Linked DNA regions of Ovis aries. The protein of the gene in region 3 binds, or shares a complex with, the protein of the main gene of each other region. Links are inferred from orthologs where the notes say so. Each region holds a gene or a part of one and is shown on either strand. Other genes may lie near its edges.

The links.
Region 1: the proteins of SNAP25 (region 3) and RPH3A are in contact, whole or in part, in a crystal structure (PDB 5LOW), measured with the Rattus norvegicus proteins. The link is inferred for Ovis aries from reciprocal best matches to the Homo sapiens genes SNAP25 and RPH3A. Residues at the interface, in NP_112253.1 of Rattus norvegicus: Glu38, Asp41, Ile44, Arg45, Leu47, Val48, Met49, Asp51, Glu52, Glu55; in NP_598202.2 of Rattus norvegicus: His617, Ser618, Ala621, Ile648, Ser649, Ala650, Lys651, Gly652, Leu655, Tyr659, Leu662, Lys663, Lys665.
Region 2: the proteins of SNAP25 (region 3) and NAPA are in contact, whole or in part, in a cryo-EM structure (PDB 6MDM), measured with the Rattus norvegicus proteins. The link is inferred for Ovis aries from reciprocal best matches to the Homo sapiens genes SNAP25 and NAPA. Residues at the interface, in NP_112253.1 of Rattus norvegicus: Glu37, Lys40, Asp41, Ile44, Arg45, Leu47, Asp51, Glu52, Glu55, Gln56, Arg59, Glu62, Gln152, Asn159, Met163, Asp166, Glu170, Thr173; in NP_542152.1 of Rattus norvegicus: Lys122, Glu155, Glu156, Ser157, Asn158, Ser159, Ser160, Asn162, Pro196, Leu197, Leu198, Tyr200, Ser201, Lys203, Asp204, Ala234, Phe235, Ser236, Arg239, Ser268, Ile269, Ser270.
Region 4: the proteins of SNAP25 (region 3) and SYT1 are in contact, whole or in part, in a crystal structure (PDB 5KJ8), measured with the Rattus norvegicus proteins. The link is inferred for Ovis aries from reciprocal best matches to the Homo sapiens genes SNAP25 and SYT1. Residues at the interface, in NP_112253.1 of Rattus norvegicus: Lys40, Asp41, Ile44, Leu47, Val48, Asp51, Glu52, Glu55, Gln56, Arg59; in NP_001028852.2 of Rattus norvegicus: Cys277, Arg281, Lys288, Val292, Leu294, Glu295, Asn336, Tyr338, Asn340, Arg398, Arg399, Pro400, Ala402, Trp404.

The regions. Positions count from the first base shown.
Region 1 is NC_056070.1:61,606,292-61,613,513, forward strand, and holds part of RPH3A (rabphilin-3A), read right to left. Parts: intron 4,486-7,222; coding exon 4,356-4,485; intron 2,883-4,355; coding exon 2,796-2,882; intron 2,650-2,795; coding exon 2,478-2,649; intron 672-2,477; coding exon 633-671; intron 534-632; coding exon 381-533; intron 1-380. UniProt on the Homo sapiens protein: Plays an essential role in docking and fusion steps of regulated exocytosis.
Region 2 is NC_056067.1:54,242,059-54,249,746, reverse strand, and holds the start of NAPA (alpha-soluble NSF attachment protein), read left to right. Parts: upstream 1-2,473; 5' UTR 2,474-2,620; coding exon 2,621-2,718; intron 2,719-7,688. UniProt on the Homo sapiens protein: Required for vesicular transport between the endoplasmic reticulum and the Golgi apparatus. Together with GNA12 promotes CDH5 localization to plasma membrane.
Region 3 is NC_056066.1:3,367,867-3,375,088, forward strand, and holds part of SNAP25 (synaptosomal-associated protein 25), read left to right. Parts: intron 1-2,766; coding exon 2,767-2,884; intron 2,885-3,050; coding exon of another isoform or gene 3,051-3,168; intron 3,169-6,759; coding exon 6,760-6,885; intron 6,886-7,222.
Region 4 is NC_056056.1:115,391,088-115,398,309, forward strand, and holds part of SYT1 (synaptotagmin-1), read left to right. Parts: intron 1-3,924; coding exon 3,925-4,092; intron 4,093-7,205; coding exon 7,206-7,222. UniProt on the Homo sapiens protein: Calcium sensor that participates in triggering neurotransmitter release at the synapse. May have a regulatory role in the membrane interactions during trafficking of synaptic vesicles at the active zone of the synapse.

The DNA.
Region 1 (7,222 bases), on a different chromosome or scaffold from region 3:
GACCAGGGATCAAACTCATGCTCCCTGCAATGGAAAGTGTTGAGTCCTGACCTCTGGACCACCAGGTAAGTCCTGAATTGAAACTGTTTCCACAGGAGAGATGCTTGAACGCTCAGAACAGAAAGTACCTGGCCACTCCTGCACTCCTGGCTGGGCTAACTAGTCCCCAGGCCTTGCCTCAGGGTCCTGCATTAGCACAGCTTGTTTGTTTGTTCATTTTGGTCTTTGTTCATCCATCCATTGACTCACTCACTCCTTCAACAAGTGTTCCCTGAATGTCTACCAATGGCCAGTGAATAAATGGATAAAACACTGTCCTCCCCATTCCTTTTGATTCTCTTCCGTCAGGAAGCCTGTTTGGATTTGCCCATCTCTCTCACCTGCTGGGCTCTGGCTAGGGTCCCCAGCAGCCATGCCGTGGCTCTGGTCCCAGCTGTCTGAGTCCCGGCCAGAGGAGCTCATTCGTGCCTCAGAGGCCCTGCGCACAGGAGGCCCGTAGCTTCCTCGCCCAGGAGCTGAGGTCATGTCAGGGCCTGAAAGGAAAGCATGAATGGAATGTAGAAAGGGGGACTGGAGGAATGGGGGAAAGGACTCCTGTCCCCAGAGTAGAAGACAGAGTCAGCAGAACCCACCTGTCTTCTGACCTGGGCTCCTCCTATCTTCAGTGTCACCTGCAGAGAGAGAGAAAAAACTGACCAGGGGTATGTATTTGATGTTTTTGAAGAGGCATCACTTAAGAAGCTCACAAAAGGGTCTGTCCACCATTCCTAAGAGCTAAAAAAAAAAAAAATTAAAAATTTCCTCTCCCAATTTCCCCTCTAATGTAGAGACTGCTTACAACATCACATTATTTCCTTTGCAAATGAGTTGGGATCATCACCTCTGTATTCTTTCTAGAATGTGCTTTGTTCACTTACTTTGATTCTCCCCAGGATTCATCAGGCATGCTCCAACCTCAAGCCCTTCGCAAGCGACATTCCCAAAGATTCTATGGGCACTTTTAACCACCTTGGTCAGTTTCTCTCAAATATGTCTCTCTTCAGACAGCCCTTCTCTGACCATTCTGCCCAACATGAAGCTTCTATCCCCTCTACCTGTTTCACTTCTCTTCCAGGCACCTATAACTACCTGATATTTATTGTATTTGCACTTGCTGTTTGTTGAGCATCTGTTTGTCCTACCAAACTTTAATTGCATGAAAGTACAGATTTTATCTGCTTCATTCACTGACTCCCTAGGGTGTAGAACAGAGCCTGGAACTCATTAGGTGTTCAGTAATTGCTTGTTAAAAGAATATTGAAAGTTCATATCATAGGCATAATTCTAAATCTATTATGTGTGAAATATCATTATGTCTTTAAAAATGTACATGCCTTAATTTAAAAATATTTCATTGCTTAAAAAATGCCAAAACAATTGCCATGGTAACATCAAAGATCACTGATCACAAATCATTTTTTGTGTGTGAAAAACTGCAATTACTGTGAAGTGCAATAAAGCGAGGTGCAATAAAATGAGGTATGCCTATAGCATCTCATTTAATCTTCAAAATAACCCCATGAGTTATTAACCTCATTTTATAGATAAGGAAAGAGTTTCAGAGAAGTTAGATTACTCATCCAAGCTCACACAACTTGTAAGCTGCAAAGCTGGAACTCAAATTCAAGTACTCCTGGGCTCAGGTGTTCAAGATGTTGGCAGTTATGCCATAGTCTTCATCTTAGAGGGAGTAATGCTTAACCAGGGAGAAAGATGCTCTAGTGATGGAAACCCAGGGCTACAGGGTATGTTGACAGTTTGGTGAGTCTCTGCAAAGAGCAGAAATTGCTCATGCCTTGCCAGGATAAAAGTATTTGTTGAGTGCCTTTTGAGAGTCAGACATGTTACTGGGTGCCTTGAGAAGCTATGATTGGGCACTTTTTTTTCTTCTTTTTACTGTTTTGTCACTCTTTTATTATCATTTTAATAATTAATAATAATAGATAATAGTGATAATATCCATAGTAGCAGTAATTTTCTTTTTGCTAATTTCCTTTTTATTCATCTTTCACTTTTAATTAGTCTAGTTTCAGATTTGCTGGTGATTGATATAAGAAATATCAGGAGAAAATAAGGCCTTTTCAGCAAGCCTCCAATCCCCTGCCCTCCAGACTCCAGTGCGTACTTTGGTGCTGGGAGTCCTTCTCAGTTCCTAATTTTGACTTCCACCTCTGCTGTACCTCTAAACACTCCATCAGGCATGACAACAAAGCCTTTTGGCAGCCTGGCATTGCTGGAGAGTTCCCTGTGCTACTCTCTTGATAAGGGTTCATGGTGAGTTGTGAAAGGGACATAGGAGTTCTAGACCAAAGCCCAGAGGCTGGCTGGCTGTCCACCAGCTGGGTAGAAACACAGACATGATGCCAGGACACCCTTCAGGTAGACCAGTTAGCCAAGATCTGTCCTTGGTCCTGAAAGCAGCAACTGTATTTTCCTACCTCGAGTTGGAGCTCGGGCAGGGTGCTTGGGCTCAGGAGTGGGCTGCTCAGGGGCAGCAGGCACAGGCTCACTGACTGGCTGCTGGGGCTTGTTCTTCTTTATGGGCATAGGCTGTGGGAGGACCTGTTTGGGGAAGCCCTTGAAGAACCATGCTCCAGAGCGCTTCCACACCTGGAGGAGGAGAGGTAGAAGATGAAGACATGGCAGCTGAGCACTATTGCTCCTGTCTTGATGAATGCTAATTTTCCACTTTGCTCCCTGTCCTCAGAGCACCGACACAATAGGCTCCGGGAACCGAATGGGACCCATCCACTCACCTCTCTCTGCTCGATGCAGATTTTGCAGAGCCACACAGGGTGTGGGCGGTTGTTGGAGGTCTCCACCCCACACTTGGTGCAGACATTCTGGAGACAAAACACAGCCCAGTGCACACTCAAGATATGTCAGGCTCGGAGCTGCTGGTAATCGGAAGTGGCTGGGAAGGGTGGCAACAAAGCCCTGTTCTCCCTTGTTCCTCACCTGCCTCCCATGACCAAGGCCAGTTAGAATAAAGTTCTAATTTGAGTCCTGATTTCTGATAACAAGAACTGGAATCATTCCCAAGCCCTCAACGCAGGGATTCTCCAAGAGTCTCTGTGGGGCCTGAGTTTTCAGCATCCACACCAGGGAGATCATTGACATAATTTTTTAAAGAGCAACTATTTATCTGTTTCTTTATTTCTTCTTTCTTTCCCAAATGAATTAGAGACAAGCTAGACTACGACTACAGGTTCAACTCCTTACAAAGAAGGAAGTTATCTGAGTAGATGCTGTGACTATGTGATGGAACAGGATACTTTTGGCTGAGTTTCCTGCCAGTCAAAACAAATAGGTCACAAAATTCTCACTATCTAGTTGACTACAGAAGGCAGGTTTTTTGGAGTAGATAACCTTTCCCCAATACTCCATTCTAAATGCTAACTGGGACCCCAAGCAGGAGAAGTCAGGTGATATTATGGACCTCTCCAGCTGGATTGTTCCCTTGAATTCCTTTCCTGGGAATCAGACAGACCCAAGGACAGTTGTGTTTCTGTCCTGGAATGGTCAAGTGCAGACAAGGTGGAAAGCATACAAGCCCCTAGAGTGAATGCTTGAGGCTTTCCTGCCAGTCCAGTGGCTAGGACCTCATCTTCCAATGCAGGGGGTGTGGGTTGGGAAGCTAAGATCCCACATGTCTCATGGCCAAAAAAAAACAAAACATAAAACAGAAGCAATATTTTAACAAATTCAATAAAGACTTTAAAAATAGTACATGTCAAAACATCTTAAGGAAAAAAAAAAGAGTGAATGCTTAAGAAGACCAAAGTCTAACTTGGCCTAACTTGGCTAGAGACAGGCTTTCTAAAATGGCTTGTACTATAACCCAGGGTAGAGCATGCTGTGTATGCTTTCCATGTACACATGTATATAGACATAAGCCCAGCATACTTTTTTTTTTTTTTTTTGCCATGTGGGATCTTAGTTCCCCAACCAGGGATTGAACCTGCACCCTCCTGTGGTGGAATCATGGAGTCTTAACCACTAGACTACCAGGAAGTCCCCCAGTATCCTCTTTAGGATGACCAATATCTTGCTAAGCCAGAATACCTGTAGGTTCAACCATAGTTCATGTTCTGCCTCATTCTCCCAAGTTCATCCTGTATGGAGCAGAGCTCCAAGGGGACAGAAGGGTCAGCATGACATCTAGGGGAGGAACCATGAACAGGCACAAGAGCATGCTAGAAGGAATCGATCCAAGCTCCATCCCTAAGACCCAAGGCCCCCAAAAGGCTGGACCCCAGGCTTAGGCCCTCTGCATGGGATGCGCAGGGAAGCAGGGAAGGGGAAGGAGATGGTACCTTCTTACAGTCCTCGCACACCACACAGGCGGAGCCCAGCATCCCCAGCTGCTCTCCACACAGGATACAGCGGTTCACCCCGTCCCCGGCCACATTCTTCCTCATGTTCTCTAGGCGGTCCACCAGGCGCCTGGAAGCAGAGTCAGCGTTATATGGGCCTTACAGGACCAGGGGCCACCAGCAGCTCCCTCAATATCTGGCTGATGGCCTTAACCTTCTTTGGGGCACATATTCTTGAGTATCTGATGATGACTAATTGGGCCACTCCCCAGAAAAATGGTACATACATTCTGATATATTTCAGAACATCATGGAACCCCTTCCCTGTACCCCAAAGCCTGTCTATTCTACTAACTTCAGATTAAGAACTTTAATCTTTCCTCCTGTCACCTCCTCCAGAGACAGTCTTCTGAACTCCAGATCTTTTTATCTAATTGTCTACATGATGTCTCCACTTGGGTCTCAAACTTGCACTTTCAGCTCAACTCTTCATCCTGGCTGCTCTTCATTCCACCCCCAGTAAATCTGCTCCCATTCTCAGGGAGCAGTAGCGCTACCCACTAACTTGCTCCAATCAGAAACCTAGAGGGTCTTCCTGAGCCCCTACTCTCCTGACATTCAGTGACCCTACCAAGTCCTATTGTGTCTAACTCCACACCATTTCCAGAATCCACCCACTTCTCTGTCTTCACCTCAGCCAAGCCACAGACATCTCTCCTCCAGGTGACTGCAGGAACCGCAGGAACCTCTCAGTCCCTGTGTCTTCATTCATCCCCTTCTATCGTCTGTTCTCCCCACCACAGCCATGGAGAGATTCCTAAAACATAAATCTGATCATGGCACTCCCTCTTCCCCCTAAAACCTTTAGCTGGTTCCCATTCCACAAGGTTTCTGTGATCCCATGTGGTCTGGCCCTGGATAAAACCCTAAACTTCTTCTCCCTCTTAGTTTTATTTCAGTATTATAGTTCAGTGGTTCTTTAAGTCTGATAACCAGACCATCAGCATCAGTGTCTCCTGAAAATTTGTCGGAAATGAAAATTCTTGGGCCCCACTCCAGAATAACCTAATCAGAGAGTCTGTGGGTAGGGCCTGGCAATCTGCTTTAGCAACCCCTCCAGGGGATTCTGGCAAAAGTTTAAGAACCACTGCTCTGGTTACCCTGGTCTTTTTGAGTTCTAGTTTTCCTAACTGCCTCAGTGTTTCTGTACATTTTGTTCCTTGTGCCTGAAACATGCCTTTGCCCATTGCACATCTTTGTGATCTTTCTCTCTCTCTCGCACACACACACACAATTTTCCTGTCTAGATTCCCCTTATCCTTCATATTCCATATATATTTCATATTCCAATATCCCTGCCCCTTAGAAAACTTCTCTGACTACCCATTTTATTTACTCTAATTGCAACCGTTCTGCATAGCACTTGTCTCATGTATAAGTAATTGTGGGATTGTCCACATTAAGTAATTAGGTAACTGTGAGTCCATCTCTAGACTATGAACTCCCCTGGGTCAGGGATCTTGTCTTCAGGGCCAGAACAGTGCCTGGGCCACAGTGAGTGTTCACACATGATGGTCAAATGAATGAATGAATGAATGCAGCCCACCCCCCAAATATGTATTCAGCAAAAGCAAGCTGAATTCAATGTCCAGTGACATATAATAGCATCTTATACTTAATGAATACATAGTGCTTATTATATGCCTGGCATGGTATGAAGCGCTTTGCCATCCAACCCTAGGAGGTACTATTAATAAGCCATTTTGCAGGTAAAGAAAGTGAGGCACTTTCTTTAAAGTTAAATTACTTGCCCAAGGTCACACAGCTAGGAAGCAGCAAAGCTAAAACTGAAACCCACGTATCTTATGTGCTACACTGTGTGTGTGTGCGTGTGTGTGTCTGTTAGTCGCTCAGTCGTGTCTGACTCTTTGCAACCCTATGGACTGTAGCCCGCCAGGCTCCTCTGTCTGTGAAATTCTCCAGGCAAGAATGTTGGAGTGGGTTGCCACTCCTTTCTCCAGGGGATCTTCCTGAGCCAGGGACTGAACCCAGATCTCCTGCACTGTAGGCAGATTCTTGACATTTTGAGTCACCAGGGAAGCCCATGTGTTACGCTAACCCTTCTCAAACTTAATGTGCATACCAGTCACACTGGTATCTTGTTAAAATGCAGATTCCAAGGCATCAGGTCTGGGGTGAGGCCTGAGGTGCTGTGTTTCTACAACTCCCAAGTGATTCCACACTATGCTACTGGTCCCAGGACACACTCTGAATAGCACAAGGCTGCACATGATGACTCTACCTGTGGGGGCATCCTGCTTTGATCTCAAGTGCGTTGTTTTTGACACTTCCTACCAGCCTGAGGGGCTTCCCAGGTGGCGTTAGTGGTAACCCACCTGCCATCCCTGCAGGAGATGTAAGAGACACAGATTCGATCCCTGGGTCGGGAAAATCCCCTGGAGAAGGAAATGGCAACCCACTCCAGTATTCTTGCCTGGAGAATCCCATGGACAGAGGAGCCTGGAGGGCTATAGTCTATGGGGTCGCAAAGAGTCGGGCATGACTGAAGCGACTTAGTATGCACACAGCAGCCTGAAGTCATCTGCTTTTTCCCTCAAACAAAACCTTACTGTTTCCGTTCCAGCCACCGCCAGTGGACTCAGATGAAGTTGGACCCTGCCCACCCTTCCACGTGCTGGCTCTCAGCTGTGGACACCAGAAGCATGAGAACCCTTGGGATGGCACTTAGGCATCACAGGGTCCAGGAGGTCCCTGGCCAGCCCTGCTGGCAGCCACCTGATGCCAACTCTCCCCACGGCCATCTCTCCTCGGTCCCGCCATCCACTCAAAGTGCTCTAGTCGCTGTC
Region 2 (7,688 bases), on a different chromosome or scaffold from region 3:
CAGAGAATTATCATATACCCCACACCCAATTTCCCCTCTTATTTAAATTTTTATTTATTAATTTACCTTTGGCTGTGCTGGGTCTTCATTGCTGCAACGGCTTTCTTTAGTTGCAATACAAGGGCTTTGTTGCCTCTCAGCATGTGGAATTTTCCCAGACCAGGGATTGAACTCGGGTCCCTTCACTGGCAGGCAGGTTCTTAACCACTGGACCAGCAGAGGAGTCCTCGCTTACATTTATCTGACATTAGTGTATGGCATGTTTGTTACAGTTAATGAGCCAGTATTGCTATATTTTTATTAACTAAAGTCTATTCTTTATTCAGATTTCATTAGTTTTTACCCAAGGTCCCTCTTCTGTGCAAGGATGCTCCCTAGACAGGACACCACATTTAGGTTCCTCTCGGTTGTGACAGCTTCTCAGACTTGCTTTGTTTTGATGACAGTTATGAGGAGTTGTAGTCAGGTATTTTGGAGAGTGTGCCTCAACTAGAGTTAGTCTGATGCTTTTCTCCTGATCAGAGAGTGAGGGAGACAGCAGAGGTGAAGCGCCACTGTCATCACACGTTATTAAGAGTACATAGCATCAGTGTGAGCTGTCACTGTTAACCTCCGTCACCTGGTTGACAACGTTTGTCAGGCTTCTACACTGTAAATGTAGCGCCTCCGCCCCCAACACCGTCCTCTGCAGATGAAAGTCTGTGCACAGTCTACATGAAGGAGTGGAGTCATGTTCCATCTTGAGAATGGAATATCCACATAAATTATTTGGAATTATGCACAGAATATTTGTTTATTCTCCACCATTTATTTTTCAGTCATTTATATCAGCATGAGCTCATGGAGATTTTATAGACTGGGTTATAATCAGGTGCTACTTTGTTGTTCAAATTGTTGCAGCTTTGACTATTGGGAACTCTGAGCTCATGGAGATTTTATAGACTGGGTTATAATCCAGGGCTGCTTGTTGCTCAGATTGTTCCATCTTTGACATTGGGAGCTCTTTCGGTTGGCTCTTGTCTCTTTGATATACCTCATCGTGTGTGTGTGTGTGTGTGTGTGTGTGTGTGTGTGTGTGAGAGAGAGAGAGAGAGAAAGAGAGAGGGAGGGAGGGAGAAGGAGATTCATGGTGTGTGTGGGGGTGTGGGGGTGTGTGTGGGAGGGTGGAGGCAGAGAAACAAAGAGATGGAGGCCAGGAGACTTACCTTCTGGAACTACAAGACCTTCCAGGCTCATCCTGTGCAGTGTCCTAGAACCAGCCTTTTATCCAAGGAGCTCTCGTTCCTTTTGTTGGAGAACAAAGAGTATTAAAAACTAAGATCTGGGCGCTAGATATAATTGAACCTAAATTTTTAACAGTTTCACTAGCTTTTTTTTTTTTTAAATGAAACCAGCGTTAGACAACCTCTGCTCCCCTCTGCATACCTCTAAGACATTGCAGGTTCAGTTCATAAATAAAGCCAGACACATGACTTTCCCTTTGTTTCCCAGTGCATGTAAGTTATGTTTACACTATGTGTGTATGTGTGTCAGTCGCTCAGTTGCATCCGACTCTTTGAGACCCCCATGAACTTTAGCCGGGCAGGCTCCTCTGTCCAAGTAACTCACCAGGAAAGACTACTTCAGTCTATTAAGGGTGCAGCAGCATTATTTTAGAAATGTATAATTTAAAAATATTTTATTGCAAAAAAATGCTAATCATTATCTGAGCCAGTCTTAATAATAACATCAAAGGTCACCAATCACAGGTCATCCTAACAAGAGTAACAAAAAACTTTAAAATATTGTGAGAATTATTAAACGTGGCATTGAGACACTAAATGAGCCAATGCTGTTTGGGAAACCGCACAGCTCTGAGAGAACTGCTTAATGCAGGATTGCCACAAACCTTCAATTTGTTTTTTTTTAAAGTGTATCTTGGAAGGGCAAGAAAGCAAAGCACAATAAAATGAGATATGCAGCCTTCTCTGGTCTTCCCAAACCAATTTCAGCATAGGTCGACAGAGGGCGCAACAAAACGGAGACCGCTTTCCTTCTTACCCACGGACGCCTTTCCAAGTGAAAGAGACCTTCAGGAGGTAATGAGAGGAGGCGGGGACTAAGCTCTGCGCAAAAGAGCTGTCAAACCCAGTCTTCCGGCATGGAGCTATCACGTGACGATTAGGGATCAGCTGACTAGGGTCTAAATTCCGCAGGGAAGTCAGACGGAGCCAAAGGCTGAAGTTGATTGGTGGAGCAGGAACAAGCCCAGGAGGCGGGTCCTTGGCGCTGAGGGCTACGATTGGCTTGTGCGGAATCACGTGGGTTATCAACCAGCGCACCAGGCACCCTAAGACAGATACATGCGCATGCGTTAAAAATTGGATCGCTGATTGGAGGCCGTGAATCACGGGGCGGCGTGCCTCGGCTGGAGAGGGCGTGGTCTGCGGTGCGCACGCCGCGCTACGAGGCCGTTGGTTGGCCAGCTCGAATCACGTGGTTCCTGGCCGCAGGAGGCGCGCGCCGGTGCGACGTCAACGCAGCCCACTAAGCTCCCCCGACCTGTCTCCTGCGACCCGGTCGTATCTGAGTTCTCCGAGGGCAGGGCTCCGGCGGTTTGCTGAGTACTTTTGCGGCCGCTATGGACAACTCCGGGAAGGAGGCGGAGGCGATGGCGCTGCTGGCCGAGGCGGAGCGCAAAGTGAAGAACTCGCAGTCTTTCTTCTCGGGCCTCTTTGGGTAAGAACCGCGCGCAGGGGTCGGCCGGGACCTCGGCTGAGAGGACGGAGGAGTCATGCTCTGGGGCGGCGGTAGAGGCGAAGGGCTCGAGCCTAGAGGACGCGGGGGTTTGCGGGCTTACGGGCATGGTCTGAGGCAGCAGAGGGTACAAGCCATGGCCGGGACGCCGGACTGTGGCACTGACAGCGTGATTCGAGGAAAGACTGTCCGAGACTGTGGCAGGGCCGTGGGCTGAGGACACCCGGGCCGAGGCGAAACCATCTGGAGGCAGGAAGGGGCCCCAGGCTGGAGACGGGCCAAAGGGCCAGGGGAATACGGCCTCAGGCCTTGAAGGGAATGTGGCCTGCGGGGACCGAGGGAGCCTGGAGGGAAGCCAGGCTAGGAAGCCTTTTGGAGCTCAAGGAGAGCCTGTTTGAAAGATCCCAGACGGGAGTCTTGGGCCCTGAGACTGAGGACTTATGCCTGAGGGCGTCCCTTTTCCGAGACCTGGGGTGATGGACTTACGTGAACTCTGGCCCGGGCGTCAGGGCTAAGATGATCCTACGATTGATGGACCCAGTCTGAATTGCGTGAAGTGTCTCAGGTGAATATGGCCCAGGTCACAGGTGACTAGTGTAAAGAGACCTGACTGCCAAGTGAGATCTGAACAGAGGAAGCTCTGGGGTGATGGAGTGAAGGCCGAAGAGGGCTGGGAGGCTGGAAACTAAGTGGGAGTGAAGCTTGGTTTAGGAACTGGTGGGATAAAAATGAAAGATGAGGGAGATAAGAAAACCTAAGGGGCCGGAGGCCTGCTGTGTGATCTTTGAGTAAAGATGGGGCATGCAGTGTGAGCAGAATGAGACTGGCATGCCCAGGTTAGGGCTGAAGGGGGCTGGGAAACAGAATCAACACCTAATGCTTGTGGCAGACATTTCACATGAGTTCATGTTGGCTCATAAGAGTTGTTCTGATGACTGTCGTTTGAGGAATTTTAGTGGCTGAGGAGGATCAAAAGCTCAGGTCAGAAGCCTAGGCTCTGCCATTTCTTGACCTTGGGCAAGCTGTTTAACTTCCCTTATTATGGGGAAGTGGTGTCTCAGAGAAACCTGTCTCAGGCATTTGCCACTAGTATTGAAGTAGGGCACGCGTAAAGGGTGTAGAATTGAGCCTGGGACGTGGTTATCACTCTGAAAGTGTTAGCTACCATCAGTGTCATTTCCGGGAAAGAAACAGGTATGGAGCCTGTTCGGGACTGATGGGGATCAAGGTGGGGGTTTGATGGGCGGGACTGATGGGGATCAAGGTGGGGGTTTGATGGGAGAAGTGGGAGGGGGGCTGTCAGAGCAGGGAGAGGCGATGTGATGAGTAAGGAGTTGAAAGGGGTTGGGGAAGGAATTCGGGCCATGGGGACTTGATAGGGTTAGGGGAAGGGGCTTGAGACCTCCGGTGGAGAGAGAGCCAGGGAGGACTGAGGAACGTTGTGTTGCTCTTGAAACTGGGAGGAGAGCTGCAGGGGAACAGGCGGGTGTGTAGAGAGTTAGGAGGAACTGTGAGGAGGGGCCATGGAACCTGGCAGCAGAGAGGCCAAGGCTGGGGACGGGGTTTGCGGGGGAAGACTGGGGCTTTAGGAGAGACGGTGTTAGGAGGTTGGTAAGAAATGAGGAGGAGGGTTCTTCCCCGGAGAGGAGATGGGAACCGCTCATTGTTACAAGTGGTGGATAATGTTTACTTATCCACCGCAAGAACTTGAGTAACCTGGCTGAGACCTCGCTAGTGTGGAAAAACATCCGGGGCTGATGGACTGTATTGATTAGGTGAGGAATGTTTTCTTTCAGAGGCTGAGAGTAGGGAGAGCGTGTCTGTGTTTCTGCTTCCTTCACAAGGGGAGAAACTCAAGTGCAGTGCTTTGTGGTGGGGCCAAGAGCTTAGTTTTCAGTCAGGTCATGGTTTTACTGGGTGGCTTTTGGTGTCTGGTCCCTGGGGATTAGTGTACTGTTGGGCCATGCTTGGAAGGAGCAGCCAAGTCAGGGCCTGAAACACTTTGTCACCTGGCTGGGAAGGCAAGATGAAGACTTGCTAACACACTAGTAAAGCAGAATTGTCACATGTGATTAAGGGCTGCATTTTATCATTGGTGGGAGGTTCCTGACCTGAGAGGAAGCTGCATGAGCTTAAGGAACTCCTTGGTGAGGAATGAGCTGGGCCCCTGGGAACCCTGGGACATGCCACAGGAGTGGGGACTGGAGAGGGTGTTCCAGGCAATGGGAATTGTCTGAACAGAGGTCTAGGGTGAGGGGAGGTTTGTCCAGAAATGATGGGGAACTGAGATCCAGAGAGACCAGGGCTGGCTCCCTGTGGGGAGAAGCCTCCACCTGGGAGGATGAGCAGGAGTTCCGGGGGTGCTCTCTGGTGGGAGAGCACAGCTCCCAACAGAGGAGGCAGCTTGAGCAAGGCCCAGATGTGTGAAGGCCAGCGTCTGAAGGTTTACTGCAGGGGGTTCTGCGTCAGCCCGTAAAGGTAGAACAGGCAGAAGGGGATGAGACTAAAGAACCAGGCCCCATCCCAGAGGGCTTTTTGAGAAAAGGCTTGGATTTGTGGAGGTGCTGGAGAGCACTGAGGATTTTCGTGGCCTTTTTAGGCTGTTCAGACTGCTGTAACAAAATACCATCAGCTCAGTACCTTATAACCATCAGAAACATATTTCTCACATTTTTGGATGCAAGAAGTTCAAGGTTGTGGTGCTGACAGGTCTGGTTCCTGGCGAGGGCCTGCTGCCTCCCAGACGGCTGTTGTTTCACTGTGTCCTGCTGTCTTTTGTAAGGGCACTAATCCCAGTCACGAGGGCCCCACCCTCATGACCTAGTCACCTCCCAAAGGCCCCACCCACCTCCTCATATCATCACCCTGGAGCTTAGGATTTCCACACACAAGTTTTGGCAGGGGACACAAGAATTCAGTTCACTGGAGGGCCAGTGCTGAAGACCTCCTGTGTAGAAAGGACTCCAGCAGCTAGAGTGGGGGAGAGTGAAGGCAGTGACGGGAATAGTATCTGACAACATTTATTAAGGGCTCACTCTAACTCTGACTCAGGCCTGGGCCCGGCACTTGCTGTGCATCCTCTCGTGTGGTCCTCACAACGCCCTTCTGGAGGTGGATGTGTAGGGGTCAGAGTTGTGGATCCTTGTGCCCAGTCTTCCACTGAGTGGGCATTGGTGTTCATACCCAGGCCTGTCTCATCCCAAAGCCCTCTTGCTGCCATCCAGAGTTTTTCTTTGAGGCTCAGGCCCATTTTTGGGCACTCCGTTTAGGAGGATGCTGGCAAACTAGGCGTCTCAGGGAGTTTCTTTCCCCTGATTTCCCCGTCTTCCCACCCACATGGCAGTTTTCCCCAAATGTCTGAAAGAAAGAAGAGCAGGAGTGTTCACCCCAGAGCCTTCAGCTCCAAGAGCACTTACAGTGGTGCAGGGTTGCAGACGGAGACTGAGACCAGCATGCCGGAGCCTGTCTGCCCGAAAGGCCAGCCCAGGAGGACGTGCCTTGCGGGCAGAAACCGCTTCTGACACTTGGCCTCTGGAGCTGGGGTTGCTTGGCTTCCACGTTTGACAAGCCCCCTTTCCGGGAATGCAGGAGGGAGTGTCAGGGCTCAGCTCATCCCTCCAGCACCCACTTCCCCTTTCAGGAACCTCAGTGATGGCAGCATTCCAGTTTGAAAGGTCTCTGCTCAGATCAAAAGGGCCAGGCAGGGTCGCGTCTGCCTGGGATCCAGGGCAGCCTGGTTGCCTGGGATGTTAAGCCCTTTGCCCTTTGTTGTTTCAGGGCTGCCAGACACTAGCGGGCTTTGGCGCACCAGCAGCCTGGAGGGGAGGCGGTACCAGCCGGCTCTCAGATCCAAGCTGCTTCTGTTCCTTCCTTCCTGCTGCCTTCCCCGCCCTTAGCTCCCAGACAGGGCTCAGGAGATGGGAGAGCAGCCCCAACTTCTGCCCTGGAAGCAGAAAGGTGGTGATTTCCCAAACACAGTGTAAGTGTGGAAAAGGAGAGAGGACAGGGGAAAAAGCAAGACGCGCTTTTCCTTCCTTCCAGCTCCCGGTGCACCCAGACTTCCTTGCTCTGCCCCTTGGAGATTTCAGACAGTGCTTCTGTTCCCCGGGGCTTTCCCCTCCCTGACATCTCCCCCTGACTCCCGCTCCCACATCCAAAATAAAAACTTCCTTCCACTCAGATACCCGTGTGGTTAGCAAGTTTCTTCATGTGTGAAATGAAAGTCGGAGAGATACATATTCTCTCGGGTTGTTGTAAGGAGAGACTGAGGTTATGCATGTAAAGTGCTGCGATCCTGATGGGTGCTTATTAAGTGCTTGCTGCTGTTATTAATATTAACATTAGGTATTGTGTTTAGAAGTTTAGCCTGAAGTCTTGAAGAGCGAGAGATAACAGGGTGCCATGTTGTGTGTCCGGACAGCGGCCAGGAGATCATGGTGGCATGGCTCCTGCTTGAACTGTCCTTGGGCACCAGCAACCCTCAGGAGCCCTGGAGGCTGGCTTCCCTGAGACCTGCCTGACCAGAGACGGGCCAAGGTCTGGGTGGGTGTCCCCCAGGCCCTTGATGCGCCTGGGTCGGGAATGATGGCTTCCAGACCGTTCCCCACCTGTAGAGCACGCAGAACCTCTGATGCTGGTGAGTTGGGCACTGACTCACCGATCCCTGCCAACTGCCAGGATCCCCGACTCAGCATTCGGCGGCTCTTGCCCAGGTTCAGAGTGGAGGCTTTCCTGAAGGGACCCAAGGTTTCCGAGGAACCCGGCCCTTATGTCTTTGCAGTCTGGGGGTTCTGCCTCTCTTGTTGGAGGTGGCCACACAGAGGTATGGATGCTCTTGTTTAGGCTGGGGCTACTAAGAGGCAAGGGCTTCCCTTGTGGCTCAGCTGGTAAAGAATCCACCTGCAGTGCAGGAGACCTGAGTTCGATCCCTCGGTTGGGAAGATCCCCTGGAG
Region 3 (7,222 bases):
AGGTCAAAAACAACAGTTAAACTGGATAGGAACAACAGACTGGTTCCAAATCAGGAAAGGAGTACGTAAAGGCTATATATTATCACCCTGTTTATTCAACTTATATGCAGAGTACATCATGCAAAATGCCAGGCTGGATCAAGCACAAGCTGGAATCAAGATTGCCTGGAGAAATATCAGTAACCTCAGATACGCAGATGATACCACCCTTATGGCAGAAAGCAAAGAAGAGCTAAGAGCCTCTTGATGAAAGTGAAGGAGGAGAGTGCAAAATTTGGCTTACAAGTCTGCATTGAAAAACTGAAGATCATGGCATCCAATCCCATCACTTCATGGCAAATAGATGGACAAAGAATGGAAACAGTGACAGACTTTATTTTGGGAGGCTGCAAAATCACCTCAGATGGTGACTGCAGCCATGAAATAAAAGACACTTTCTCCTTGGAAGAAAAGCTATGGCCAACCTACAGAGCATATTAAAAATCAGTGACATTACTTTGCTGACAAAGGTCCATCTAGTCATAGCTATGGTTTTTCCAGTAGTCATGTATGGACGTGAAAGTTGGACTGTAACGAAAGTTGAACGCCAAAGAATTGATGCTTTTGAACTGTGGTGTTGGAGAAGACTCTTAAGGGTCCCTTGGACTGCAAGGAGATCCAACCAGTCCCTTCTAAAGGAAATCAATCCTGAATATTCATTGGAAGGACTGATGCTGAAGCTGAAACTCCAGTACTTTGGCCACATGATGCAAAGAACTGACTCATTGGAAAAGACCCTGATGCTGGGAAAGATTGAAGGCAGGAAGAAAAGGGGCAACAGAGCATGAGATGGTTGAATGGCATCACCGAATCTATGGACATGAGTTTGAGTAAGCTCTGGAAGTTGGTGATGGACAGGGAAGCCTGGCGTACTGCAGTCCATGGGGTCGCAAAGAGTCGTACATGACTAAGTGGCTGAACTGAACTGAACCCAGAGATGTGCTTCAACCCCACCTCAGACCAACTCTGCAGGAAGCCCTTAGCAATTCCTCAAATGGGGATTGTCATCCCTATTCTGTCATTCTTAACATGCTTCTTGTTTTGAAGATACTGGGCTCCACTTCCCCAAACCAATCTCTCATTTGATAGTTATTTTGATCTACAGACTAATTTATTGCATTCCTTAAGGAAACTGGGATGAAGTGTTTGGAAAAGTACAGAATTATCTGGAATGTAAAGAGTTGTCATCCATTTTTTTTAGCCCCTTCAAGAATTTTCTTAAAGATAAGAGTATACCTATATTTATTCAGCAAAGTTTTGCCAGCACTATACTGTTATTTCCTGTGGGTATCACATACTGGATAAACATTCTGTTTTCCCTTGTCTCTTGAAAACCAGAGCAGAGACAGCAAATTCCTAATAAGCTGAATTCTGTTCCTCAGCCCCACAAAAGACAACACAATAGCTTCTTATTTTCCAAATGGACAGGCAGTCTCTCCAGTTTGGAATGACAATTTAATGTGAAATTGTTTTTAAGTAATTATTTATGCCCTTTTATACAGGAAAATATTTACTAGTTTTATTCTAATCATATCTTTCTTCCCAGAGGCATAGGCATGCATGCATGAAAATATAGTTGAAAAGAGGAATAGAAATGTAATTAGGTTTTGTAAATAGCCAGCCAGGACATCCCACTGCTGCCTTAATGGTCTTATGCACCCAGTCACTATGCCGCTTTTGACTCTGTGTGACCCCATGGACTGTAACCCACCAGGCTCCTCTGTCCATGGGATTTTTCAGGCAAGAATACTGGAGTGGATTGTCATTTCCTCCTCCAGGGATCTTGCGACCGAGAGATGGAACCCTCATCTCCTGCAATGGCAGGCAGATTCTTTGCCACTGAGCTACATGAAAAGCCAAAAAGTCATAAAAGCTGTTTTAAAAATCACTTCATGTAACTTGTAATTTACTCAATTTAATGACACCACTTTTGAAAACTTAATCAAGTTGATGAATGTAACCCTGGCAACCTAGAAGTATGATTCGTTTTTATGGCCATCAGTCTATGTCTTAAGATACTGTCTAAGGTCAGCTTTCCTGGCACTGATGACTTAGTACTGTTTCATGTTCCAATCCATCGCCTTTCTCCAGGAATTTAATGGTCCAGTACCTGTAATGTTGCTGTGCTGATATTGCTTTTCTTACAGCTTCTATGAATTGAATATTCAAAACCAAAGACTGCCTATGGCCTGCCTTTGGCTAAACAGCCATTGCTAGGGGGAAGAAAAGATATGGTACCTATTGCTAATTATCACTATAGTTGTTATTCTTCCCAAAGGAGAAAGTGGATTATTTTCTATCCTTAGCTGGTTGAGGGTGCTAAAAACCAAAAGAGAGAGATGTTTTAAAGTTGAAGCAGACACTTCCTCTAGCACCATTGCATTTGAATGCCTAAAACAAACTAACACCCTATTTTCTTTCTCTTGAGTTTCACTGGTGTCTGAGTAAGTGAATATGCTGTGCTGTTTTCCTGGACATTCAGAATCAAGCAGGCTTATCTACTCCATCCCATCATGTCTGAACTATAAACTATATGAGCATCACTTTTGTTCATTTCCTTCCACCCCTGGCTGCACAGGGCATCGACAGCCGATTCTAGCAATGCATCTCCTCAGACAATGCATTGTAATAGCTCTCCCTCTTTCTCAAATTCCGTTTCATTTCTCATGTTCTGTTGAAAACCCCCAAAAAATTCATTCCACACTGTCATCCCTTTGTCCTAACCAGAACAACTCGATCGTGTCGAAGAAGGCATGAACCATATCAACCAAGACATGAAGGAGGCTGAGAAAAATTTAAAAGATTTAGGGAAATGCTGTGGCCTTTTCATATGTCCTTGTAACAAGTAGGTACTGGGTACCAGCTCTAATCTGTGGCGTCCAGTTTTCTTTCTTTCTTTTTTTTTTTTTTTTCTTTAATGTCAAAGTGAATGTCTGAAGTTTTGTCTTTTTTTTCTTTGTCCTTTTCCATCCGCTTCATTCTGTGGGGATAAAATACTTGTGTTTAATCAGAACAACTGGAACGCATTGAGGAAGGGATGGACCAAATCAATAAGGACATGAAAGAAGCAGAAAAGAATTTGACGGATCTAGGAAAATTCTGCGGGCTTTGTGTGTGTCCCTGTAACAAGTAGGTGCTGCCTGCCTGCCTGAAGCTTTGGTTTCCCAAGGCCCATCTCCAAGCCTTGACAATCTCATTCCTGCTGGTGCAAAGGCAGGATGAGTATGTGGCATGCAGAACAGATCAATACCGTCTCTAATGCATTCATCTCATAGCATAGATGATATTAGTGGGAGTAAACTGTTGATGCATTAAAAATCAGGCATACTACAGTGAAAGCTTCACTGTCAGCAACTTTTATTGATGAACGTTTCAACATTTTCCAGAAAGTGTACCTCAAGACAGAGACTAACCTCAAGAAAGAGGCGCCACCCAGGGAATTTTATGTTCTCTAAATCCCCGAAACCAAAATTGCAGATTTAGAAAAGACTGGGGGTAAGTTTGGAAGTTGAGATACACATATGTATCAAGGTTTGATTTTTCAGAAGCAAAAATTACAGGTAATTTGGCCCAAACAAGCATTCCATAAGTTAGAGAGTAAGTAAGACAGAGATTCACCCTTTCAACTGCCCACCAGTTACCAAATCTGGTCAGCGGTTAGACCATAGATGCCGCAGCTGCACCCAACGCAGAGGCAAAGAGTCCTTCAGCAAGAAGTGCTCATGCCTTAGCCAAATTGGGCCCATCCCTCTCCAATTCTTCCTTTAGGAAGATCTCCCGTACACTGGCCGAAATGTTGAAATGTGTAGATTTTGCATGCACGACATCACAAAACATTCAACTGTTAAGGTTCTGCAACGCTTTTTTGGAATGTAGCAGAAATGTGACATGTGGTTATAAAGGTTTGCAACAGAAGGAATCTGAAAATAAGTGTTCTGGAAGGTAGTCTTATTTGACTAGCAGTGGAAAACAAAAAATGCATGAGTGGATTGTCCAACATGCATTTGGAAGATTAAACCTGTTCCCCGATCCCCCTCACCCCTCCTACTTCCCTTTGAACAGAAGCCTTTTTCTAAAAGCTCTCCTGATCCTAGCTTTTAGAATAGAAATCGATGTCATTTCTAGCTGATTATATGACCATTCACATCCTTTAAACTTTGAGGCTGATTTAAAATATCCCACTTCCTGTTTAGGAGGGGAGGGGCTCAATTTACAAATAAATTTAAGTTTGTTTTTTTTTTTTAAAGAATGATCTACAGTAAAACCTGATTAACTGGAATCTAGCTAACTTGAACCTTTGAGTATATTTATATTTTTGTTTGTTTCGACTTTTAGCAAAAAGAGGCAAATAAACAAAGGGAAAAATCCCATTAGGGATTTAAAAGCATTTCTCTTAAAGGTCAGTCTAGGCAGTTTGCATTCTCTCACTCAGTCTTCATTCTCTAAGTTCCACATCCAAGCGGACCAAGCAATGAAAGCTGAGCTGCAGAGGAAAGGCAATCAGACATATCAAGAGAAACCAAAACCAAGGAATGCTTTGATCATGTTCCCTGCCCTAAGACTCTAAGGCAGGAAAGTGGCTCAAGGTCTAACAGATAGTCAGCCATCACTCTTGAAACTAAGTTTAACTCCATGGCCCACTGTGTTAAGAAAGTCCTATAATTCACCAAAATAACATTCCCAAGCATTCCAGTTAGTCAAGATTTAACTGTTCATCATTTTCAGTGGCCACTTGCCCCCAGGTGAGATGTCTACCTCTTTTGTGATGAATTTCATAGATACATTTTCCCCATCCACCAACTGTGTGGACAAAGGGTGGAGGCAGGCCCCCCTCCCTCCCTGTGACAGACTCTAATGCTCAGATGAAATCACGACCCCTGGGAATTCCAGGTACCAGTTGGCACTAATTCCTTATTACACAAGAGACCCTAACTGAGCTTCAAAGCTTGACTGAAGTGTTCCCTATTGTGTGTAAATAATGCTTTAAAAACCATGTGTCACAGCACAGTGGCTGGTGGCGCCCTGCACTCTCTGGGGGCTTCGCCCTGTCCCGGCATGTTTCGAGGGACTACGGTAGATGTCCCGCAGTTATGTGAGTCTATGTGCAGCATTGTGGGTGCAGTGATTTGCCTTCGTTCCGAAACGCAAACTTTCCCACTCCCTTGACTGCCAAAGATGGTACACCGGACATTTTACATAGCAGAAAGCATCACAAGGTCCATATAACTTCTGGTAATGTGAGGAGGGAGGAGACGGGGATTCGGAAAATAACAAAAACAAAGCCATACTCTAACCTTTATTAAATTCATTTTTGGATCCTGTCCCACTAAGTGGCCCCGGCTCTTTAGAGCAGTGAATTCTGACTGCTTGAAGGCTATGGCATTATACATTAAATGTGGGAGTTGCTGGAATTCCATCTGTACAATTTTCCAATTTGTCTCCAGGGTTTCTTGGTCCCTAATCTGCAAATATTAGTCTTAGTGCCAGTTTTAATAGATGGCTATGGTCCTCCAATAAAAAAGAAGAAAAAAAAAAAGGTTAAATTCTGGTGTCGTATAATAGAAAATACAAAATGTGAAAACAGGACCGAAAGAAGTTCTGTTCTTGGACTAAAAAGCGTGTGGTTTCTACTATGCAAAGAACATAAAAACATCTTTGATTGCTCAGTTACAACACACCCACCAAAATATGCTGCACACGTGTCTATTGGGCACAATAGGTATGCCTGGATTTTAAGTCTCTCTCCAAGGCAGCTCAGTGAAATATGGCCCACAGAGACCACACCAGTTCCATACCACTTTCCCCTACCACATCCCAGGATAGTTTGAAGTAGGCAGCTGTAACCACTCCCATCCTGTCCCTCAGTCCAACAAAGAAGCTATTGAACCTGCGTTTCAAATCCTCATGAAGGCTATTACTGTCCTGCTAGTGCCTTTTTTGAGAATGGTCAACTTCTGGAGTAGTTTGGCTTAAATGAGAATGCTTCACTTTCTACTCATGCCTGTAGCTGGTGCATGAAGAAGATGTAGAGGGATTTCCCTTTCTGGTGCTAGATGGCTTGTTCTCTCTTCTCTTTTCCTGCATTCATTTCACTATGCCTCTTTTACTTTTTGTCTCTGTGGACAAAGGTTTGTACATCAACTCTGGATGTATGGTGACTGTTTGGAAGTACCGATATATTATCTAATTCGAATCACTCTAGAGGCAACTCAAAGACCATCACCCTTGGCCAACCACCAATCCTGTATGTTCTCCACGCAGAGTGAGAATGCTTGGTTCTGCACATGCATTGGGGGAAAACAATTAAAACGGGAATCTTTGCATGATGGTGTGTAAAACTTGGTCCAGGATGTTTTTCTTGATGACAGTGTGTTGCTGTGGTGTGATATACACACTCTACTTGGCAGTCTTGTTTTGTGTCTGTCTGCCAGTATGTTTTTTTCTGTGTTTTGTGTCTCAAAATATAATTAGAACTGAATGTCCTCCAACTACGTTAATCCTTGTCTTAAATCCAACTAAACTAACAAAAATGAAATCCTGAGTAGCTGAGGCTTGGTGGTGGCCAACTGTTTGGGTCTGGATTATGATATATCGGTATTCTCTAATGCCTCGAATTAAAACTCATTCGCTTGGTTCGGTTCTGAGCTTGAAGAGGTAATGATTGTTGTGAGCTTGATGCGCCGCCCCTTTTGCTTGTCACTCACCCTCTTTTTTGCATAGGCTTAAATCAAGTGATGCTTACAAAAAAGCCTGGGGCAATAATCAGGATGGAGTTGTGGCCAGCCAGCCTGCTCGCGTGGTTGATGAACGGGAGCAGATGGCCATCAGTGGTGGCTTCATCCGCAGGTGAGCCTTGTGCAGCTGGCGCTATAGCGGTTGCCTACTTTTGAGTGACAAACTACTCCAACCTGAGTGGTTCTTAAAACAACACTGGGAAGTTCTCCGGCAGTCGGATGGTTAGGACTCGGTGCTTTCACCATCATGCTCTGGGTTCAATCCGTGCTCAGAGAACTAAGAGCTCATAAGTCGAGTGGTGCCTCCAAAAAAAGGAAAAAACGCCATTTTTTTTTTTTAACTTCTGAATCTCTGTGTTGACTGAGCAGGTCTTCTGAGAGCATCTCCTGGGCTCGCTCATTACATGCAAGTGGGTGCAAGATGGTCTAAGACAGCAGTGCTTTCTTGT
Region 4 (7,222 bases), on a different chromosome or scaffold from region 3:
GTTCCTAGGCATAGATCCCTCAGCCTTAGCTATAACGATCTTCTTCAGAATTCATGGATTTAGCTCCAAATAGGGCAAGTTAGACCATCAGTTAAGCCAAAGATTTGAAAAGAAAAAATTTAACTGCCTGATAAGGAATCAAGGATTTAAAAATCGACTTTCCATGAGTTTCATTTCCTTCTATGACACTGCGTAGGACTCCTGGCACAAATGAGTTAACAGCTCTAGAAAAGTAGAAAGACCAGCTAATTGACTTCTAGTGCCTTTGCATGCATCCCCAAAAGTAACAACGAAATGAAAGTGAAGTCTCTCAGTCATGTCCGACTCTTGGCCACCCCATGAACTCTGGTTCCTCTGTCCATGGGATTCTCCAGGCAAGAGTACTGGAGTGCGGTGCCATTTCCTTCTCCAGGGGATCTTCCTAACCCAGGGATTGAACCCAGGTCTCCCACATCGTAGGCCGATGCTTTACCATCTGAGCCACCATAAAAGTTGTGTCAAAAACAGACCTTCCGGCTTTAAAAGTCGTGAAGTGCCACCAAGATGAATGATAATATTAGCTGCTGGTGCATCTGCTGCTAAGTCACTTCAGTCGTGTCCGACTCTGCGCAACCCCATAGACGCCAGCCCACCAGGCTCCCCCATCCTGGGGATTCTCCAGGCAAGAACACTGGAGTGGGTTGCCATTTCCTTCTCCAATGCGTGAGAGTGAAAAGTGAAAGTGAAGTCGCTCAGTCGTGTCCGACTCCCAGTGACCCCCTGGACTGCAGCCCACCAGGCTCCTCCTCCCCTGGGATTCTCCAGGCAAGAGTACTGGAGTGGGGGATAATATTAGCTAGCTTTTATTAACTCCCTGTTTTCATGGTACCCCAAGATAAATGTTTAAAAAGAAAAATCTCTTTACCTAAAAAGACCTTCTAGGATCTATGACTTTGATGATGATATCCCTTTACCTTCTAAACTGTTCAAGAAATTTTAAAAATTAGATAAGAATTAGCTGAGTTAGAGATCAGGTTCTTAAGAATCATTAAGACACAGTTCTTTGTCAACTAGGGTAGCTTTAAATCTCTCCAGTTTGTTTTAAATCTTTCTGGTTTGATCAGTTCACTGATCTTTCAGGGTGGGAAAGAACTTGATAGACGTAAATACAGTTACTACCTAACTGTAGCATGTGTTAATTATGTCCAGTTTAATGAGAAGTAAATGATAAATAAATCAAACACCAAAAGTCAGCTCTGATAACTAATGCCCAAAGTCAGTAATACTGTGAGCCCTAAGTAATGGCAGGAATTCTGGGCTTTATTTAGTTCAGATAACATCTTTACTTTTTGAAGTGTCCAGAGGATTCCTTACAAAGAATGTATTGATATGCATGGTCATATTGTAAATAATTACATTTAATTAGCTTCATTACAGTCCTAGTTCGTTATTTTATCTTACTTTCCAGAAAGCCGCATGTTGGTTACAGATACAGCCTTGTAAGTATGAATTTGTACAGAATTATAGGTCTACTATTTCTACTTAAGTAAATATGGCATTTTAGGTTATTTTTATCATTTATACCATGATTTGACTATCAGGGGTTGGTTAAGAGCAAAACTGCCTATTATTTATAAATTCTAGGGGAGGTCAAGGTCAGCAAATGTTATCTTAACACAAAACATCTTTTGCAGAAATACAGACAGCTTCCCTTGTGACTCAGCTGGTAAAGAATCTGCCTGCAATGTGGGAGACCTGGGTTCAATCCCTGGGTTGGGAAGATCCCCTGGAGAAGGGAATGGCTACCCACCCCAGTATTCTGGCCTAGAGAATTCCATGGACTATATAGTCCATGGGGTCGCAAAGAGTCGGACACAACTGAGCGACTTTCACTCACCCATTCTCACTCAAACTGCTTTTATATATGTATCCAACCTTTTTCTACTAATTAATTCTACTTTCATATTTTTCAATAGAAATCTAGGGGTACCTCATCCTGGTTAGTCATAATTTTGAAACTCCTACATTGGTTTTGAGTATTATAAGTACCATTTTATAAAGTAGTATTTTTAAGAATATAGTACTGAAAAAAAATATAGAATTGAATTTTTTTTTTACTCAAACATGATGCAATGTATTTATTCTTCTCTTTCTAACAAACACATTTTAGGAGGTCTTTCGTTCTGAGCATCTATAATATTCTACCTGATAAAATTTAATATTCTGCATTTATTTTTCTGAATGTTCTTAGCTAATCTGATTTATAAAATGATTCCTGTGAGTCATGGAACATAAAGTCTGAGGATTTTTGTAGATAAGGCTGTAATCAAATATACACACTTGCTTACCAAAACTAAAAGACAATCCTTAAAGTCCCCTAAGAAGCTTTCATGGTGGAGAAAAATGTGATGTTTATCTCTCAAGCAGAAGCCAGAGGGGAGTTGGAAGAAGTAATTCCATCTCTTATCAACAAAATGCCCCCAAACCTTTCAAGTATAGATGATCAAGTTTAAAAGACTTTAGGCTATATCACTAGTTCTTTCCCTGCCCCAAAGAAAAAGTATTGCAAAAAGAGAGAAGGAGAGAATATAATCTCACTTATTCACATTGCTAACCAAAAGCAAATTCCAAATACCAACTTGGCAAAGCAAGAGACAAACTGTTTGCTTTACTAATCATGTCTTTATAAGCTTATGTCTATTTTAGCCATCCTTTGACCATCTGTCTACATTTTGTGTACTTACAATCCAGCATTATTATTGCTACTGTTGTATGAAGTCACAAAAAGATACTGAAACATTAAAATGGAAATAGCAATCTTTAAGGGTATTGGTCTAGATTAAAAATTGAGCCAATGGGCCAAAGTGCACTTATGCACTTATGGATCAATTTTGTAAAAAGTTGCTGTGACTTTTTTTTTCAGAGGTGAATTGCTTTTCCACCCTATTGGTTGAAAAAAGTACAGTCTCAAAATTTCAGACCCCATTTTAAGATGTGAAAGCTATACATTCTGCATTTTCTGAATAGTATATCCCTCGAATAACAGTAAGAGTCTACTTTTGTTTCCCATATGAATCTAAACCAGTCTGTTGACACAGCATGACTGATGGCAGAGCATCAGAACAGTCCACTCACACCTTCTGTTTCCTTTGCAAAAACATGAACAATGCCAGTCAACACTCATGTTCATAATAAGAAATAGGAATGTATCACTGAGAAAATCAGATGTGAAGAATGCAGAGATTTCTGCTATATTTGAATAAAATCAGACAGTCACTTAGCATTAAAACCATAACTGTAATCTCTTTTAGATGAAGCTGAAATTATTTTTCTTTGACCCTATGTCCTATATTTAAATACAGAATTTAATATATAATAATTATTTTACTCTAAGTTAAAACAAGAAGTAGCTAGCATACAAGTAAAGGCCAAATGTGATAGAAACTTGAAGATCTTGTTTTTATCTCAAAAAGCTACCCAGTTTCTAAGAAATTTCTATCTAGCTGGTCTGAAGCTTTGGTTCAAAATAAAATGTTCCTGCTTTATAATTACAGGCTTGTGATTGTTTAACAACTTATTTCCACTTACAAATCACACTCTGGTAAGAAAAATAATACACAAGGGCTTTTAGCAACTGGGAAGTTATTTGATTGCAATCCTTTTGCAAATATGAATTCCATATTTAAATGTAATCAGCAACCTTTTAAAAAGCCTCTTTTGTGTTTAAAACCAGGCTTCCTAGAGCTTGCGTATATCATAATTGAGTTTCTGAAGTCTGGGTATATCATTTCTTTTGCCTTCTGTGTTCAGCTTCTTAAGAGAATAGAAGTTTATCAAAAGCAAAGAAGAAAAGAGCAATCACAATGTGCAGCCTTGTGAACAAATCAGTCTTTTCCAACATGTTCACCAATGCCGATGTTGGCCATCTTCTGCCTCTCATTTCAGCTCCTGGTAGGAATCATCCAGGCTGCCGAGCTGCCTGCCTTGGACATGGGGGGCACCTCTGATCCCTATGTGAAGGTTTTTCTGCTGCCCGATAAAAAGAAGAAATTTGAGACAAAAGTCCACCGAAAGACCCTTAATCCTGTCTTCAACGAGCAGTTTACTTTCAAGGTATATTTTGTGTGTGTATTTACTGTTGAACTTCTTCTCTGTTGTTTTAGATAACAGACCAGTCTCATCCTGACATATACAGATACATGCGCATGACCACTTTCAGAGACTCACAAGTGATTCTGCTCAGAATATCCATAATTCTTATTTTCAATGTAATGAGGGCTCTACTATGCATTAAATTTGATCCAAATAGGATTCAGCTCAGCTATTTCAGAATAGAGTGTGGACTGGCATAGAACAAGGATGTCATTCGTGTCCATAAAGTGAGTTCAGCTTCCAGTGTGTCCATGGACCTGAACATTTCCCCCTCTCTAAAATAAAGCCAAAAAATTACAGACTTTTCCCAGGTTTCCAAGTTTTGAAAACCAATCACAACCACAGAATAAAGTAAGCTATCCAACATTATTTCAAATGATACAAATAGGTATTACTCTCATTGCAAAATTCTTTGTGTACAGGGCCAATCTGAGTATTTGAAAACATTCTAAATCCATAAATAAAAAGAATACAAGCCAATTATTTTTTTTTTCCAGCTCTAGCATTTTTCCTTTCCTCTTGGCTCTTCCTGGTGTTCTTCATCTTGTTGAGACACCTCAATTAACAAACGATAACAAAGAGGAATTCTGGCCCCAGAATAACAGGAAAAGGTGCCTGGCGGGCTTCAGGCATCTCCTATGTACAAGCTCTGTAGTTCTCCACCTGAAGTCATGCGTAAAAACAGTCTCTTGGTTGGTGTCTTTAACATGTGAAATTCTTTAATGCATTCCTTAAAACGATACATGTCTGTGAATATGCCAGCAGGCAGAGTCAGAATCACTCATCTACCAGCCAGCCTTAGCGACAGCACACACTGCATGTCAACAAATATCCCAAATAAATGGAGGAAACTTCAGGTGTGAGTCAGTCTCATGAACCTGGCTTCTAGTTTTCCAAGAGAGTACTGACGTTCTATTCACTCTACAATTTCAGTTTGTAAGACAAGAAAAATCCCTTCTGTGCTGTCAGCAATCCTATTTAAAATCTACACTTTTCTAAACCAAGACAGCTAATGTAGAATAGCTCTAGAAACATTCTGAAACTACTCAGTTTAAGAAAAACTAATCATTGAGATCAATATGCCACAGAACGTACAATGAAAACAAACAAAACAAAAATATTGCAAAAGGTAATCAGAATCATTCTATTTGACTCTGTGTGGATCTCAATTTAGGTCAGTAGTTTCTAGCCACTGTTTAGCTAGCACATTCTTAAATTATTTGAAATATTGTGAGGCTTTGTTTTGAGTTATCTATATGCTATTTCTTTTTTAAAATGTGTACTGCTAATAATTTCTAGTAATGTCTATAACTTCAAGAATTATAATCACGGGAGATTTTGAAATTGCCTATAAAATTTAATCAGGTTCCATTTCATTTTAAGAGAGTTGATCACATCATAAATCAAGCCAAAGTACAATATATTTTCCTACATTTAAAAAATACACCACTGTTTCTAGAGAACTAGCCAGTTTCTCCTTTTAGGCTTTGTAGATTATGCATCTTAAATGAAGCAAAATAGTTTAAAGGGGATTGGCTTTAAAACTGAGTTCAAATCCACTGAAAATGAACTTGACATGCCCCAAATGAAACGCTCCTTTTCTCCACAATAAACGTCCACTTGAAAGAGCTACTTATATTCAAACAATAAATATTTATTAAGTACCTGCTGTGTGCCAGCACTGTGCTAAATGCTTTACATGTATTCATTTGGCCTCAACCAGCTCCCGAGAAATAGACACTATTATCATCATTCTAGGTTTATTTACTTGTCCCAGGCCCTTCAGCTGGAAGAGGGGGAAACCCAGTCTTGGACCTGTCTGACCTCCAACTCGGGTTTTTGACTGTCATTTCGTATAATCACCAACCAATCTAGACAAATTTCAGAAATAAGATGCAATTCTCAAGAGCTCATCCCTACTCTAAAATTAATTTCTTTCTTTCAAAGTCATCTCTTTGGAAGGGTTTACTTTTTCATTCTAAAGTGGAAAATGGGTTATGCCTAGTTTTTAATCATAGTATTTTAACCCAATTCCTAATAGATGACAAATGATAGACAACAAAAGCTCTTTGGAAAAAAGCAAAATTTCTTGTATATATACGGTCAAAACTTCTTCCTTCTCCTTTCTTTCTTAATATACGGAATTAATTGAGAAATGTTTGCTGGAGCATAAGACAACTATTTACACTGATAAAATAATAACAAGTGTCTGAAAATTGATGAAACCTTCAATACAAGTCTAAACAATTTCTTAATTAGGCATTTCTTCCCAGTTACTGAAGTGTAGCTTCCGTGGAATTGCCCTGCTTTCTCTGAATATTAAAAATGTCACTAATAAACATCCCAGCCCATAGCATCTGTCCCAGATATTTTTGAACAGCTGGAGAATTCATCAGTTTTTGGCCTTTTGCCTCTGCTCATCCTAAAGAGTGTCATTCCTAAGAATGAACTTCAAGATCTAGATTATAATGAATCTGATATTCAAAACATCAATTTTCTAGTCAGCTCCTGTCAATCAGCAAATTATTTTAAGGAATAGGGGAGGCACCTTGTGAATTTCATTGCAATCCTTACAGACTCCTAGCATGTCTTCTCATTAAGCACTGCTTCATTAAACTATGGCATCCAAATGACCTCAAAGAGTTAATAGAACTTTTGGAATAACTACCCCTGAGTAAGTTGTCCCCTGACAATATAACTTAACAATAACAACAAAACATTCTTCAAGAAAAAGTGCCTTATATAGTCAAGTGCAATCAGCTTGGTTTACTCCTGTTTTACTCTTGAAGTATTTCTAGCATGACTAATAGCAGGAGCCATTATTAATAACACTAACAGCTTCTAGAACTTTGGGAGAAAGTGATAAATCACTATGGTAAGCCCTCACTTTCACCCAAGTAACTTAAGCCCCAAGTAGTTAGTCAAATGATGCAATTTAAGGGGGAAAAAAAGTGCTACTTTTCTCCCTGTTCTGTTTATCCAACATAAATATTAAAATTAAACACTATGAAAAAGTAACATATTTTAAGCATTTTTTGGTCACCAGATATTTTATCCTGGTCTTTTTTATCTAGGTGCCATATTCGGAATT